Linked DNA regions of Canis lupus familiaris. The protein of the gene in region 3 interacts with the protein of the main gene of each other region in a pairwise test. Links are inferred from orthologs where the notes say so. Each region holds a gene or a part of one and is shown on either strand. Other genes may lie near its edges.

Evidence for each region.
Region 1: the proteins of RGS19 (region 3) and GNAI2 interact in a two-hybrid assay, tested with the Homo sapiens proteins (2 studies listed by BioGRID and IntAct). The link is inferred for Canis lupus familiaris from reciprocal best matches to the Homo sapiens genes RGS19 and GNAI2.
Region 2: the proteins of RGS19 (region 3) and GNAO1 interact in a two-hybrid assay, tested with the Homo sapiens proteins (2 studies listed by BioGRID). The link is inferred for Canis lupus familiaris from reciprocal best matches to the Homo sapiens genes RGS19 and GNAO1.

The regions. Positions count from the first base shown.
Region 1 is NC_049241.1:39,499,361-39,503,328, forward strand, and holds the start of GNAI2 (guanine nucleotide-binding protein G(i) subunit alpha-2), read right to left. Parts: upstream 2,801-3,968; 5' UTR 2,765-2,800; coding exon 2,647-2,764; intron 2,640-2,646; exon of another isoform or gene 65-2,639; intron 1-64. UniProt on the Homo sapiens protein: Guanine nucleotide-binding proteins (G proteins) are involved as modulators or transducers in various transmembrane signaling systems.
Region 2 is NC_049223.1:59,252,595-59,256,663, forward strand, and holds the start of GNAO1 (guanine nucleotide-binding protein G(o) subunit alpha), read right to left. Parts: upstream 2,801-4,069; 5' UTR 2,336-2,800; coding exon 2,218-2,335; intron 2,017-2,217; coding exon 1,974-2,016; intron 1-1,973. UniProt on the Homo sapiens protein: Guanine nucleotide-binding proteins (G proteins) function as transducers downstream of G protein-coupled receptors (GPCRs) in numerous signaling cascades.
Region 3 is NC_049245.1:48,362,424-48,366,525, forward strand, and holds the start of RGS19 (regulator of G-protein signaling 19), read right to left. Parts: upstream 2,801-4,102; 5' UTR 2,747-2,800; intron 2,421-2,746; exon of another isoform or gene 2,301-2,420; coding exon of another isoform or gene 2,298-2,300; intron 1,975-2,297; exon of another isoform or gene 54-1,974; 5' UTR 1-53. UniProt on the Homo sapiens protein: Inhibits signal transduction by increasing the GTPase activity of G protein alpha subunits thereby driving them into their inactive GDP-bound form. Binds to G-alpha subfamily 1 members, with the order G(i)a3 > G(i)a1 > G(o)a >> G(z)a/G(i)a2.

The DNA of each region.
Region 1 (3,968 bases), on a different chromosome or scaffold from region 3:
ACACCAGCCCATCCCAAATCAGAGACATTCCCCCAAAACACAAAGCCAAGGCCCCACATCCCACCTGGGAACTGTTGGTCAGTCAGGTTGAACTAGGTGGTGGTGGTGGGGGTGTCCCAGAAGTAGGGCTGGTATCAGCAGCTCTGCCCCTCTCGACCAAGCTCCAGGAAAAACACTCTCATGGCATGTACCACATCTGCCTCTGCCCCCGGTGCCCATCCGCCAGCAGGGCTACCCAGGAGGGCAAGGAGCCAGGATGCGGGTGGGGCAGCAGGCGTGGTTCTGGCTGGAAGGGAAGGCTGGCAATTGCCCAACCTAAGAGTCCCGTTGCCTGGACAGAATTCTTCCCGCTACATGGGACAGGCACCCAGCACTCTGAAGCTGCCCCAGCTGGGCTCCCATCACCTCCCGGTACCTGGATGGGCCAGCCAGGACCCTTACCCAGGCAGCCATGGCAGATTGGCAGTTTCAGGCAGAGGTAGGTCTCTCAGCCCCTTGCTGTATACCCTCTGCAAGGCCTTACTTAGTTCCCATCCCCTACCCCCAACAGGAACCTCCACGGGGCCCCTATTCCCTCCATCCTGGGCCCAGCGCTCTTTGGCCCCAACCCAGGAAGCCCATTCAACAGAAGAAGCAAAGGCCAGAGGGGGAGCAGGATGCTGAGGTGGACTCCTCAGCCTAGAAAATGCTGAGCCAGACCCTGCACCCCTGCTTGCTGCCGGGCCAGTGTGGGAGGGGATGCCAGGCCCAAAACCTGAGCTGAGCTCCAAGGAACAAGACTAGTGGAATGGGGTTGGTGCACAGAGGGCCAGGAGCCCTCTGTGTCACGGCCCTATGGCCCAGTCCCACGTCTCCTCAGCCCATCAGCCCGAGAAGGGGCCAGCCAGAGGCCCCTGGGTGGGCACCAGGGGACAGCGATACCAGAAGGACCCTACCCAGGCCCAGTGGGCAGCGGCAACGGGCCCTCCACCTTGGCGACACCCACTCACTGGTGCTGCCGCACTCGCAGCAAAGACAGGAAGAGGCAAGCGCCCAACGCAAAACAGCCCAGGAGGCTGGGCCGCCGCCCCTTCCCGCCCCTTCTCTTCCTACCCGCAGCGGCGGCGGAACGGATGCCATTTTGAAACCTCTGGGCTGTGCCCCTGAGGCCAGGCCCCCAGGGACAGTCAACAGATGGGCTCAGATGGGAGACACACTGTCCCTCGGCCAGGCCCCCAGCAAGGAGGCTCTGCTGTTCACAGCCCGGGGACCCCACCGCGGCTCTGAGGCTGAGGGGCCACACCCCCCCACAGACACTGTCCAGCCTCCAGAGCTGCTGCGAGGGCACCTCTCCCCCAACCCCAAAGCCCCCGAATCAGGCTGCCACCGGGCACCGCACCTGCTCCCGGCGGGAGGCCGCTTAGGGACAGCTTCCAGGCCCACAGTCTTCGTGAAAGTCCACCTCAGATGCCTCCCAACTCCATCTGGCCCCCAAGTCCTCATCTAGCTGGTCCGCCACTTCCCCCTTACAGGGCCTCAGGATCTGACAGGCCCCCTGACTCCCGGAGGCCAAGTCTTTGGCCTTTCGGCCCAGAAAGGGTGCGGGAAGCCCAGCACCCGTCAACATATCTCCTCGGCCCGCCCGCCGGGGCAGCAATATGTCGGCTGTCTCACCACTTCCACTTCCCCCCACCCCTCAAGCCGCCACCATCTTCCCTGGCCTTGGAGGCGCCGCAACCCAAACTCCTCCATACTCACTCCCTCCTACTCCCCAGACGCCCCCCTCACCGGCCCAGATGGGGCTTAGAAACTGGGAAACGGCCAGCGGGAGGAATCTCCCCGCGAAGCTTGAGGCCCGATTCCCTCCCCCAGCGCAACCAGTGGAGCCTCAGTCCAGCCCCTGAGTCTGGGCCCCCACCACCCCGCCGGGCCCGGCCCAGCCCACCGGTGCAGGAGGGGTGGGGGAATCTGGAAGGCCAAAGTGTGGGGAAAGGACTTAGGGGAGGAGAAGCAGGGGGTTTGAGTAGTACTGTGTGCAGAGAGCGACCTGGTGGGCCAGATGGAGGGAGGAGTATCTAAAGGTTTAGGGGTTCTGGCAGGAGAGAGGGCTCATGGGCAATCACAGTTTCCACTGAAGAAGTACCCTGGAGTCAGGGTGCACAGGTGGAGGATACAGGGTTCAGAGTAGGGATGGGGCAAAGAGCGGGAAGGAGGGAGGTGGGGGCTGGCAGGGGCCCCATGGATATTTATGCCCAATAGGAACAAGGTGAGCAGGTGGGGGAAACAGGTGGTGCCTGAGAGTGGGGGCAAGTGGGGTTCTGGGTTTTTGAGTAAAGTCTAGAGAAGGATGGAAGGACAAGGCAGGGGGACTCTGAGGGTCTGTGAGGTTGGTCAGCAAGGGTCGATGGTCAAGCAGGTTCTGGGTCTGGGGGTTAGGCGTCTGCGAGTTGAGGGTCTGATCTACAGTCTGGGCTTCCGATCAGAGATCTAGGCCAACCCAGAGTTTTGAACCATTATTTGGGTGTCCTGGCCAGGCGGGGTCTGGGAGTTCAAGTCCAGGTATAGGGGGTGAGGTCAGGACTTGAAGGCCCTTAGTCTGGAGGTCAAAGTCCTCGTCTGGGGATTCGGGCGGGGAATCGGGGGTCCCAGAGCAGGGCGCGGCCTCACCCAAAAGCAGCAACTTCACCTCCCGCGCCGCCTTCTCCCCGTCTTCCCGCAGGTTCTTGTCGATCATCTTGGAGCGTTCGGCCGCCGCCTTGTCCTCGGCACTCACGGTGCAGCCCATCCCGCCGTCCGCCGGCCCGGCCGCCGCCCGGCCCCCGCACGGCCCCCGGCCCGGCTCGGCCCCGCCCGACCCACACGGCTCCCGCCGCCGGGCCTCTACGAGTAGCTCTCGGGTCGGCAGTTCCGAGCGTCTGCGGGCGGCGCCTTCCCGGCCGCCGCGCACCGACGGCGGGGCGGGCCGAGGGTGGGGCCGGAGCAGGCCAGGCCCGGGACTGGGCCGGGGCGGGCCCGAAGGCGGGGCCAGGGGAGAACCGGGGCCGCTGATTGGCTCGAGGGCGGAGCGAATGGCAGTTAGGCCCCGCCCAGACCCGGGCCCGGGCTGAAGGCGGAGCCGCGCGGAGGAAGAGGGGCAGGCGCGGAGCCAAGCCCAGAGGGATTGGGCTCGGGGCGAGCTGCGGGCGGGGCTGGGCTCCGATTGGGTGCCGAGCGCTCGGCGCTCCGCGGCCCGACGGCGGGGGCGGGCGGATCTTGTAGCCCGAGGGTGGGGATCCGGGGCACCTCGCTGGCTGGGCAGAAACCAACCCTCGAGCTTAAGCAAGTTGGGCTAGCGGGGTGGAGGAGGCGTGTCTTCGTCCTGTTAAAGTTAATGAACCCAATAAACTTGTTTCGGGATCTTCAGAGCCCCGGAGCCTCTCTAAACTTCGGCTTTCTCTGTCTTAAGGCGGGTTTGACCTCTTCTCTCTCGGTTTGCAGCTTAAAAAATGTCTGCTGCCACTTCTACACCTTTGCCCAGCTGTCTCCCTCAGCCGGGTGCCTCCTCTCCTCACCCAAATCTTTAAATATCCTTCATCGATCTGGGAAGCATCCTCCTGCCTGTAGTCATCCGGGACTCTAGCCTGGGACATGGCAACCAGGCCCAGAGAGAGAGAGGTGGGGGGTGGGGAAAAGAAAGGTCTACCTGATTTCTGGATAGATGAGTGGCGCTGATCCTATGACCTGTCCCCACTGGACAGTGGCTGCACCCCTATGGCTGGGCAAAGGTGGACGGAGGCCAGCAGCGTTTCTAGCAGAACATTGCAGTCTTTCTGATCCTCTTCAGGAAGGGAGCCCTGACCTCTAATGGACTTCCAGTGAAAGGTCTGCCAAGGGTTACAGAGAAATATGTCCTGTGTGGCCCCACTACCATGAGGCGAGGACGCCCCAGCCCAAAGACCAAGAAGGTCTACAAAGCCAGGAAGGGAGCTGGCCACCCACAGCCCCCTGTT
Region 2 (4,069 bases), on a different chromosome or scaffold from region 3:
GCCGAGTCCCTCCGAGCCCCGCGCCCAGTCCGCACCGAGCCGAGCGCCTCCGAGCTGAGCATCAGCGACTTTTCCGGCCTCAGCTGGGCGCTGTCCACCACTTGCAACGCCTGAAACCTCACTCAGCCCGGTGGCTGGGGCTTCTAGCCGGCTCCGAGGCCGCCACTGCAGATTACAGACTCCTGAAGTTTTGAAACATCCCCTTCTGGGAGAGAGGGGTGGCGCTGCCTGCATTTGCCGACCCGCAAGGGCTCCAGGCAGATGCAACATGCACCTTGTTGCAAAGAGCAATTCCCCAGGCCCCGCCTCCCCATCCATTTGGGCTGCACAAGCTCTAGAGGAGCCCCAGGCCAAATTACCCGTGGCTCAGAGGGGTGCGGCGAGCCGAGGGGGCCTCTGCAAAGCAAGCCCCAGGGAGCTCTCGAAGGAAAATAAGAATATGTCAAGCAGACGTGGGGAAATTGTCTCCGAGTCGCTATTCCCTACCATCATGGCGCCGCCTAGAACCCGCTTGTCATGCCTGTTACACATGCAAGATTTTTTTGCATCTTGGTTCTGAAACCGCAAGCATGTTTTGTCTCCCACCCACCTTTCCGCGAAAGGGGTTTTTATTTTCCATTGTTTTCCTACGGGATGCAATTACTTCAGCTATTCTGTCAAGCTGAAAAATAATCATTTTTGTTTACTGCACAGCAACCCCTAATTAGGAGCTGTGTGTGCACGAAGGTGTCACAGCAAAGCGACGTGGAATCCTCGCTAAACGGTCTTAACGTCCCGAACTGACAGGCCAACGGAAGCAGCAGGGCCAGGAGGCCCCGAGGGCACACACCCCTTCCCCACAGGCCACCCCCTCCCAAGCAAAGCTGCCTGGTGGGCTCGCCAGGAATTGCGGAGTGGATGGGGCAAGAAGCAAGCTTCAAGAGTGGGAAGGAGGGGCGAGGCTCCTAACCGACAAAGTGTGGAAGGGAAGGAATATCCCATTTTGTTTTAATTTTCAACCATCACTCAAATCCACCCCCAGTTAATTAGGAGGCGAAACTGATATGTAAGGCAGAAGGGGGCGGCTGGCAAGTGGGGCCTGAAATCCGCATTGAGGGTAGATTTATAAGGAAGATGGCCTATGCAGAGTGTAAATAAATACATTGATAAAGGCCAGGGAGTGTCAGGAGAGCAAAGGCTTGGGGGGGGGGGGCGACGAGGGGGGAAACAAGGGCTGGGCATTCAGCCTCAACCAGCATCCCCGTCCACCTCTGCCTTGGATACTGCTGTGCCAGTCATAATATCTGCTTGGAAGCCCACCTCTCCCCTACCACATACCCCTTCCCCTAACCCTAGTGCTTCTCTGAAGGGGGGGGGGGGGGGGGGGGGGTAGAAACCACAACCTCCCAATTCAGCACCAAATCCATGAACAGCAGACACTTGATCCTCCACCCCAGTCTAGGGCTGGGTCCCTTCCATGTTTTAGCCAAGTTCAAAATCACTGCCCCAGGAGAAGAGCAGGGGCAAGTGGGATTATGGATGTGGAATGGGTGGTGGTGGTGGTGGTGGTGGTGGAGGGAGGGAGGAGAGAGAAATACAGAATGAAACAGACAATAATGGAGGTAGTGATACACCCAAGGAGCAAGAGTAATGATTAGAATCATGCCAATAGTGTGATGTTCTGATCAATATGGCGGACACTGTCATTCATACAAACTACAGGCGCTCCACTTCCCTCCCTCCCCCCCCCCCTGCAAAAAAAAAAAAAAAAAAAGAAAAACCACCCACCCGGGAGTTGGGGTGGAGGACCCAGAACCAACGTAGGGCGTGGGGGAGGGGAATCAAATCCAGGTGTGTGTGTGTGTGTGTGTGTGTGTGCGCGCGCGCGCATGAATCAGAAACCAGGCCTGGAGAGCAATGTGGAATGAGCAAGATAATACAAATGACAAAAAATTATTAATAAAAGTACAAATCCCAATGCCACAGGGACTTACTTCATCTGCTTCACAATGGTGCTTTTTCCTGATTCTCCAGCCCCTGTTGGGACAGACCGGGGGAAAAACTGGTGAGTGTCAGCTTAGGGGAACGGAGGGGGAGGGAGGGTGGGTAAGGCATGCGAGAGGGTGGACCGAACCGGGGGACCAGGTCTCCCCAGGCACGAGCAGGGTGGGAGAGCGGGCGGAGGCGGGTGCGGAGTGTTCGGGGTCGCGAGATGGGGGTGGCAGCCCCGGTCCTTACCCAGCAGGAGTAATTTCACGTCTTTGGCGGCGCTGATGCCATCCTCTTTGAGGTTTTTCTCAATCGCCTTGCTCCGCTCGAGGGCGGCTCTCTCCTCTGCGCTCAGAGTACATCCCATGGTGGCCCCTTCCCTGCCACAGCCCGCACGACTCGGCTGGCACGGCTCCCCGGCTCGGCGCGCCCCCCACCCCCCCAGAGAGCAGAGCCTGGGCTCAGTGGGGAAAAAAAAAAAAAAAAAAACCAAAAACAAAACAACAACAACAACAAAAAAACCACGATATCCTTCCCTTGGCTGAAAACAAAAATGTCGGGAAACCAGAACCCCCCAAAAAGACAGCCGCGGACAAGATCCCAGCAGCGGAGACTGGCGGCAGCTGGCGGGCTCTAGGGGTGTCGAGGCGAAGGTGGCCGGGGTCTGGGGCTCCGGGGCCGAGGGAGGAGGCGCCCGCGGTCCGAGGAGGCGCGGGCTGCAGGCACTGAGGCTTGTGCACGACCCAAAATAAATAAAATAATAGTTGAGGCAGGAGCCGCAGCCGGAGCCGGAGCCGGAGCCGGCGGAGGGTGGGGTGGGGGGCAGGGTGGGTCCTCCTGCCGCTGCTGCCGGAGGAGGAGGAGGCGGCGGCGGCGGCGGCGGCGGCGGCGGCGGCGGCGCGGGGTGTGGAGGGAGCGAGTGAGGGGGTGCTGCTAGTGCATGTGCATCGCGGGTCCTCAGCCGTCGGTGCGTCCGCGGCGCCTTCGCCGACCCCCGCGCGCAGGGCAGGGCTGGGCAGGGGGCCGGGCCGGGCCGGGGGGCAGGTCTCTAGCGGGAGGCGGCGTCGCTGTCTCCCAAAGCTCGCATCGCTCGGTGGAGCCTACGGGAGAGGGAGAGGAGCGCGAGGGAGCCGCGGGCAGCTGGCAGCTCGAGGGGGGAGAGAGAGAGAGACGCGGGGAGGCTGGAGGGAGGGGAGGAAAAAAATGAAGGGAGAGCCAGCGAGCGCGCGCGCCACAGCCCGGGCGGGGGAGGGGGCGAGCGCAGCGCGCGAGTGCGCCAGCGGCTCTGCGCACCCCGCACCGCAAGCCGCCCGCTGACGTCAGCAGGGCCGCGCGCCGGGCCCCCGGGACCGGGGTTGGGGGGCGGGGGAGGCGCGCGCCGGGGCCCGCGTCAGTCGGCGGCGGCGCGCGTGCGCGCGCGGCGCGACCTCCCCTCTCCCGGCGGCCCCCGGCCCGCGGCTCCGCGAAGTGGGCGCGTGCGGAGCCTGGCGGGGCGGAGCCTGGGGCCGGGCGCGCGCCGGGGCGTCCCTCCCTCCCCGCCGCCGCCGCCGCCCCCGCCCCCGCCCCCGCCCCGCGTGCGCGCGGGCTGCGCGGACCTCCTGGTCAATGGAGCGCCGCCGGCAGGTGGGCCCCCCAGCTCGCGCCCCGCGCTGCCTCCTCGGTTCTCCCGCCTCCGCTCCATCTTGGCTCCGGCCGCTCTGCTTCTTGGTCACTTTCCAGGCGCCGGGGCCGCGGCAGCCGGGACCCAGGTGACCTCAGCGAACGTCGCCGGCGGCGTGGGGGCAGCTGCTGAGTGCCCGCTTGCTGCGACCCAACCCACCCAACCCACCCAACCCACAGGCATTAACTGAGCACCTAGTATGTGGGAGAGGAAGCCGTGAGAGAGGGACGACAGGAGGAGCCAGAGCCGGGCCTGGAGTCCGGGAGCCCGTGCCCCCCGGGGCCATCGCGGCGCCTGCTCCGGGATCCCGGCCGCGGCTGTGGGCGCGGGCCGCGGGGCCCACCCCGGGAGCGCGGCGTCGGGAGGCACAGGCTTACTCGCAACCCAGAGTTTAAAACGGCTTTTACTCATTCTGCAACGATTTAGCTCGTTTGAAGTCTT
Region 3 (4,102 bases):
GTCGCCCGGGCTCCGTGGTGCTGGCTCCGGGACCCTCACCACAGCCTGGGGGTCTGAGAAGAGAGGTGGGGGTTCCCGCTGAGAACCTGAGACGACAGTCTCTACTTGCCTCTCCCTCCGCCCAGGAGCCCGAGGGGCCTGCTCCCCTGCCCCCACCTGCACCGGGACTGCGAGCAAGGGCAGGGGCGGTGAGGAGGAGCCAGACAAGATCTCCACAGGAGGTTCTGGGACACCCCCGTTTGCTCGGTCCCTGGGAAGCCGGAAGTCTGGGTTCCTCTTTCTTGGTTTCCGGCTCCTGGCCCCTCCCAAGGGGCCTGGGGGGCCCCAAGAGTCTGGGGCTATCAGCCTAATGCTCCCTCCATTCTGGGTTTTCTGTAGGGAGTGGGCGAGGTGGGGAGGGCTTGCCCCCCCCCAGGTGCCCAGATCTGCCCTCAGCCCCGGAGGGTTCCAGCCTGTTCGCAGCTGCCCAGCCTGCAGCCTGCGTGTGGGGCAGGACTTGAGGGTCTGGGGGTGTGGGGAATGCAGCAGGGCACAGTGAGGAGGGCCAGGCGCCTCGTGGGGGATGCAGGGCTCCTGAGGCCCAGACGCTGCCCCTGGCACCCCAACCCCCAGCGGGCACCTTACCACACCCAGGGCCTCCCAGCCTCCCTTCCCCCAGCCCCACCAGGCGGTGGAAGCCAGTGCAGCCTGGGGTGCCAGTCAGGGAGGGGAGCGGGGAGGAGGGCAGCAATGGGTCGGGGTGTCCAGCTCCCAGGGTCAAGGTGCGGGATCCCCAGACGGGGTGCGGGTCGGCATTGTTTACAATGCCTGTGCCCACGTTTCAAGGTGCAGGCGTGCAGGGGGCACTGGGCCCTGAAGCCCCCAGCGGGGGTGAGGAGCCCGAGCAGCCCCCCAGCCCCCCCCTTCCGTCCCCAAGGCCAACCACGGATCCCAGAGTCCATGCGGATCCCAGAGTCCACACCTGGGTGGCCGATCAGTGCCCCAGGGGCAGTCTGAATGCTTTCCCACCACAGCACCTGCCTCTGCCTGCCCTGGCCGGGGTGAGGACCCCAGGGCCCGGCTGCACCCCCGCACAGCCTTTGTGACCCCCCAGGCCTGCCCCCACCCCCGTCCCGGTGGCCAGCAGGCTCAGGACTTGCTTTCACTTCGTTTTCTCATGTAATTATCACATCACCCCTGGGCCTGTGGCCTTTCAACCCCCGCCTGGCCCACGTGGCCTGCTGGCTGCTGGGGTCTCGCAGGTGGGAAGGAGGGAGCGGCGGGGATGCCGGGGGCGCCGGGAGCCGTGCTCAGAGGTGCAGGGCCTGACTCAGGCACGCTCAGGGCACCCTTGCCTCTGGGGCCTGGGCACGCAGAGGCCCTGCCGTGACCCAGATCTAGGGCAGAGTGTGGGGTCCCCTGGGCTGAGGGCCCTGGCCAGCTGCCTGCTTCCCCTGAAATCATGGACATGGACGGGGAACCCTCAAACTGGGCCCCAGCCCGCCTTTCCTTCAGGGGTCTAGCTTGTAGGGAAGGGAAGGGGTGTGGCAACCCCCGAGGTCTGGTAGCCAGGCAGAGAACTGCTCTTCCTCCTCCGCACCCCTACCCGCTGCGAGTGGGGGCAGGGCCCCATCCCCCTCCACTCCCTGGCACCCCAAGGCTCTGCTCTGAACTGGAGGAGGGGCCAGGTCTGAGGGCGCCCACGTGCTGGGGGTCCTGGAGTGGATGCCTACACTGGCCCGGGGCTGGCGGGGTCTCCTGTTCACCCGCTGTCTCCTGAGGTCGCCCGGGGTGTGCACAGGGCTCCTGCCCCTCCGCCTGGCAGCTGGAAAGGGGCTCGGTCCCCTTTCCCAGCCCTTGGGCTCTGGCCCCCAAGTCTGGGATGGGGGAGGCTGGACGGGCAGCGAGCCTGGCCTCTGGGGACCGAGGCTCCCTTGGGAGCTGCTGCTACTCTGCTCCACAGAAGGAAAAAGAACGTCCCTGAGCCCGCCCAGTCCAAAAAAAGAATAAGAAAATGTGACAATCCCAGAAAAAAATGCCATAACCTTTAGGCGGAGGGTTGACAGGGGCTCCTTCCCCTGCTTCTGGCGCCCCTGCCTCCCCTCGGCCGCCCCCCGCCCCGCCCCCGCCCCGAGCGATGGGTGGGGCGGCCCCGGCCTGGGCCCGACCTCTGTGGCCCGGGGACCCTCGCCCGCCCCCAGGGCCGCGGTGCCGCCGACCCGTCTCCCTCCTCCTCCCGCCGCTGCGGGGTCTGCCCGGGGGGCGCGGCTCCGACTCGGGCCCGACGCCCCCGGGGCCTGGCCGCGCGCCCCACTCACCATCGGCCCAGGGGCGAGGCGCGGGCGGGAGGGCCGGTTCCCGCGGGGCCCCACCCGCTGCCGAAGGGCGCGCTGCAGCGACCCGGGTCCGCGGGCGGGAGGCCCTCCGCGGGGTGTGGAGGCGGCGGGAGCCCCGGTCAGCCCGGCCAGCCCCGAGCGAGCGGCTGCCAGGCGCGGGGCGGGGGCGCGCAGGGCGTCCCGCCGGGCCCTCCCCACCGGGCCGGGGGCGGGAGGCGCGGAAACCGGGGCTCTTCCGGCCCCCCCTTGAGCAATCACTTCCCCGGGCTCCGAGCTGCAGAAAGGGGAACCGGTGGCGGCGCCCCCTCCCCCCGCGCGGGGCACCGGCTCCGCTCCCGCCGCCGCCCGGGTCCACGTGGGCCCGCGGTCCCGGCGGCGCGGTCCGGGCTCCAGCCGCCCCCCCCGGCCGCCGACCCCCCGCGCGCACTCACCGGCCGCGCTCCCGGCCCCGCCGCCGCCGCAGCCCCGCGCACAGGTCCGGCCGCCGGTCGGGGAGGGGGCGCGGGCCGCAGTGCGCAGGCGCGGGCCGCACTTCCCCAAAGCGCGGGGCCGGGACTTCCTCGCGCGGGGAGGCGTCCGGCCCGCCCCGCCCCGCGCACCCCCGCCCCGCCCCCGCCCCGGGCTCCGCGGCCTCCCGAGGAGGCGGGTCCCCGCACCTGCAGCCCCGGGCGCTCCCGCGGGGGCCCGCGCCCGCCCTCCCGCCGCCGCGCGCCCCAGGGGCCCTCGGCCCTCCCCGGCCCCGGTGGTCGGCGCGCCCCGGCCCTGTCGAGGGGCCCGGCCGCCCCCGCCCCCGCCCCCGCCCCCGCCCCCGCGCCCAGGCCCCGCCGCTGACCCGGTCACTAAGCACAGCGCTCCGGGACCCCCACGCGGAGGGCCGACCTCCCACGCGCCTCGCTCGGCGGTGATGGGTGCCCCAGAGGTGGGCCCGGCTGCGCGCACGGACCGCGGGAGCCCGGGCTGGAGGTGCGCCGGGGGGGGGGGGGGGGGGGGTGCCGGGATGCTGGGGTGCCGGGGTGCTGGGGTGCCGAGGTGCTAGGATGCCAGGGTGCTGGGATGCCAGGGTGCTGGGATGCCGGGATGTTGGGGTGCCAGGATGCTGGGGTGCCGGGGTGCTGGGATGCCGGGGTGCTGGAATGCCGCGGAGCTGGGATGCCGGGATGCCGGGGTGCCAGGGTGCCAGGATGCTGGGGTGCCGGGGTGCTGGGGTGCCGAGGTGCTAGGATGCCAGGGTGCTGGGATGCTGGGGTGCCGAGGTGCTAGGATGCCAGGGTACTGGGATGCCAGGGTGCTGGGATGCCAGGGTGCTGGGATGCCGGGATGTTGGGGTGCCGGGATGCTGGGGTGCCGGGGTGCTGGGATGCCGGGGTGCCGGGATGCCGGGGTGCTGGAATGCCGCGGAGCTGGGATGCCGGGATGCCGGGGTGCCGGGGTGCTGGGGTGCCGAGGTGCTAGGATGCCAGGGTACTGGGATGCCGGGATGCAGGGTACTGGGATGTCGGGATGCCAGGGTACTGGGATGCTGGGGTGCCGGGATGCCAGGGTGCTGGGATGCCGGGATGCCGGGGTGCCGGGATGCCAGGGTGCTGGGATGCTGGGGTGCCGGGGTGCTGGGGTGCCGAGGTGCTAGGATGCCAGGGTGCTGGGATGCCAGGGTGCTGGGGTGCCGGGGTGCTGGGATGCCGGGGTGCTGGGATGCCAGGGTGCCAGAGTGGTGGGATGCCGGGGTGCTGGGGTGCTGGGATGCTGGGGTGCCGGGATGCCGGGATGCTGGGGTGCCGGAATGCCAG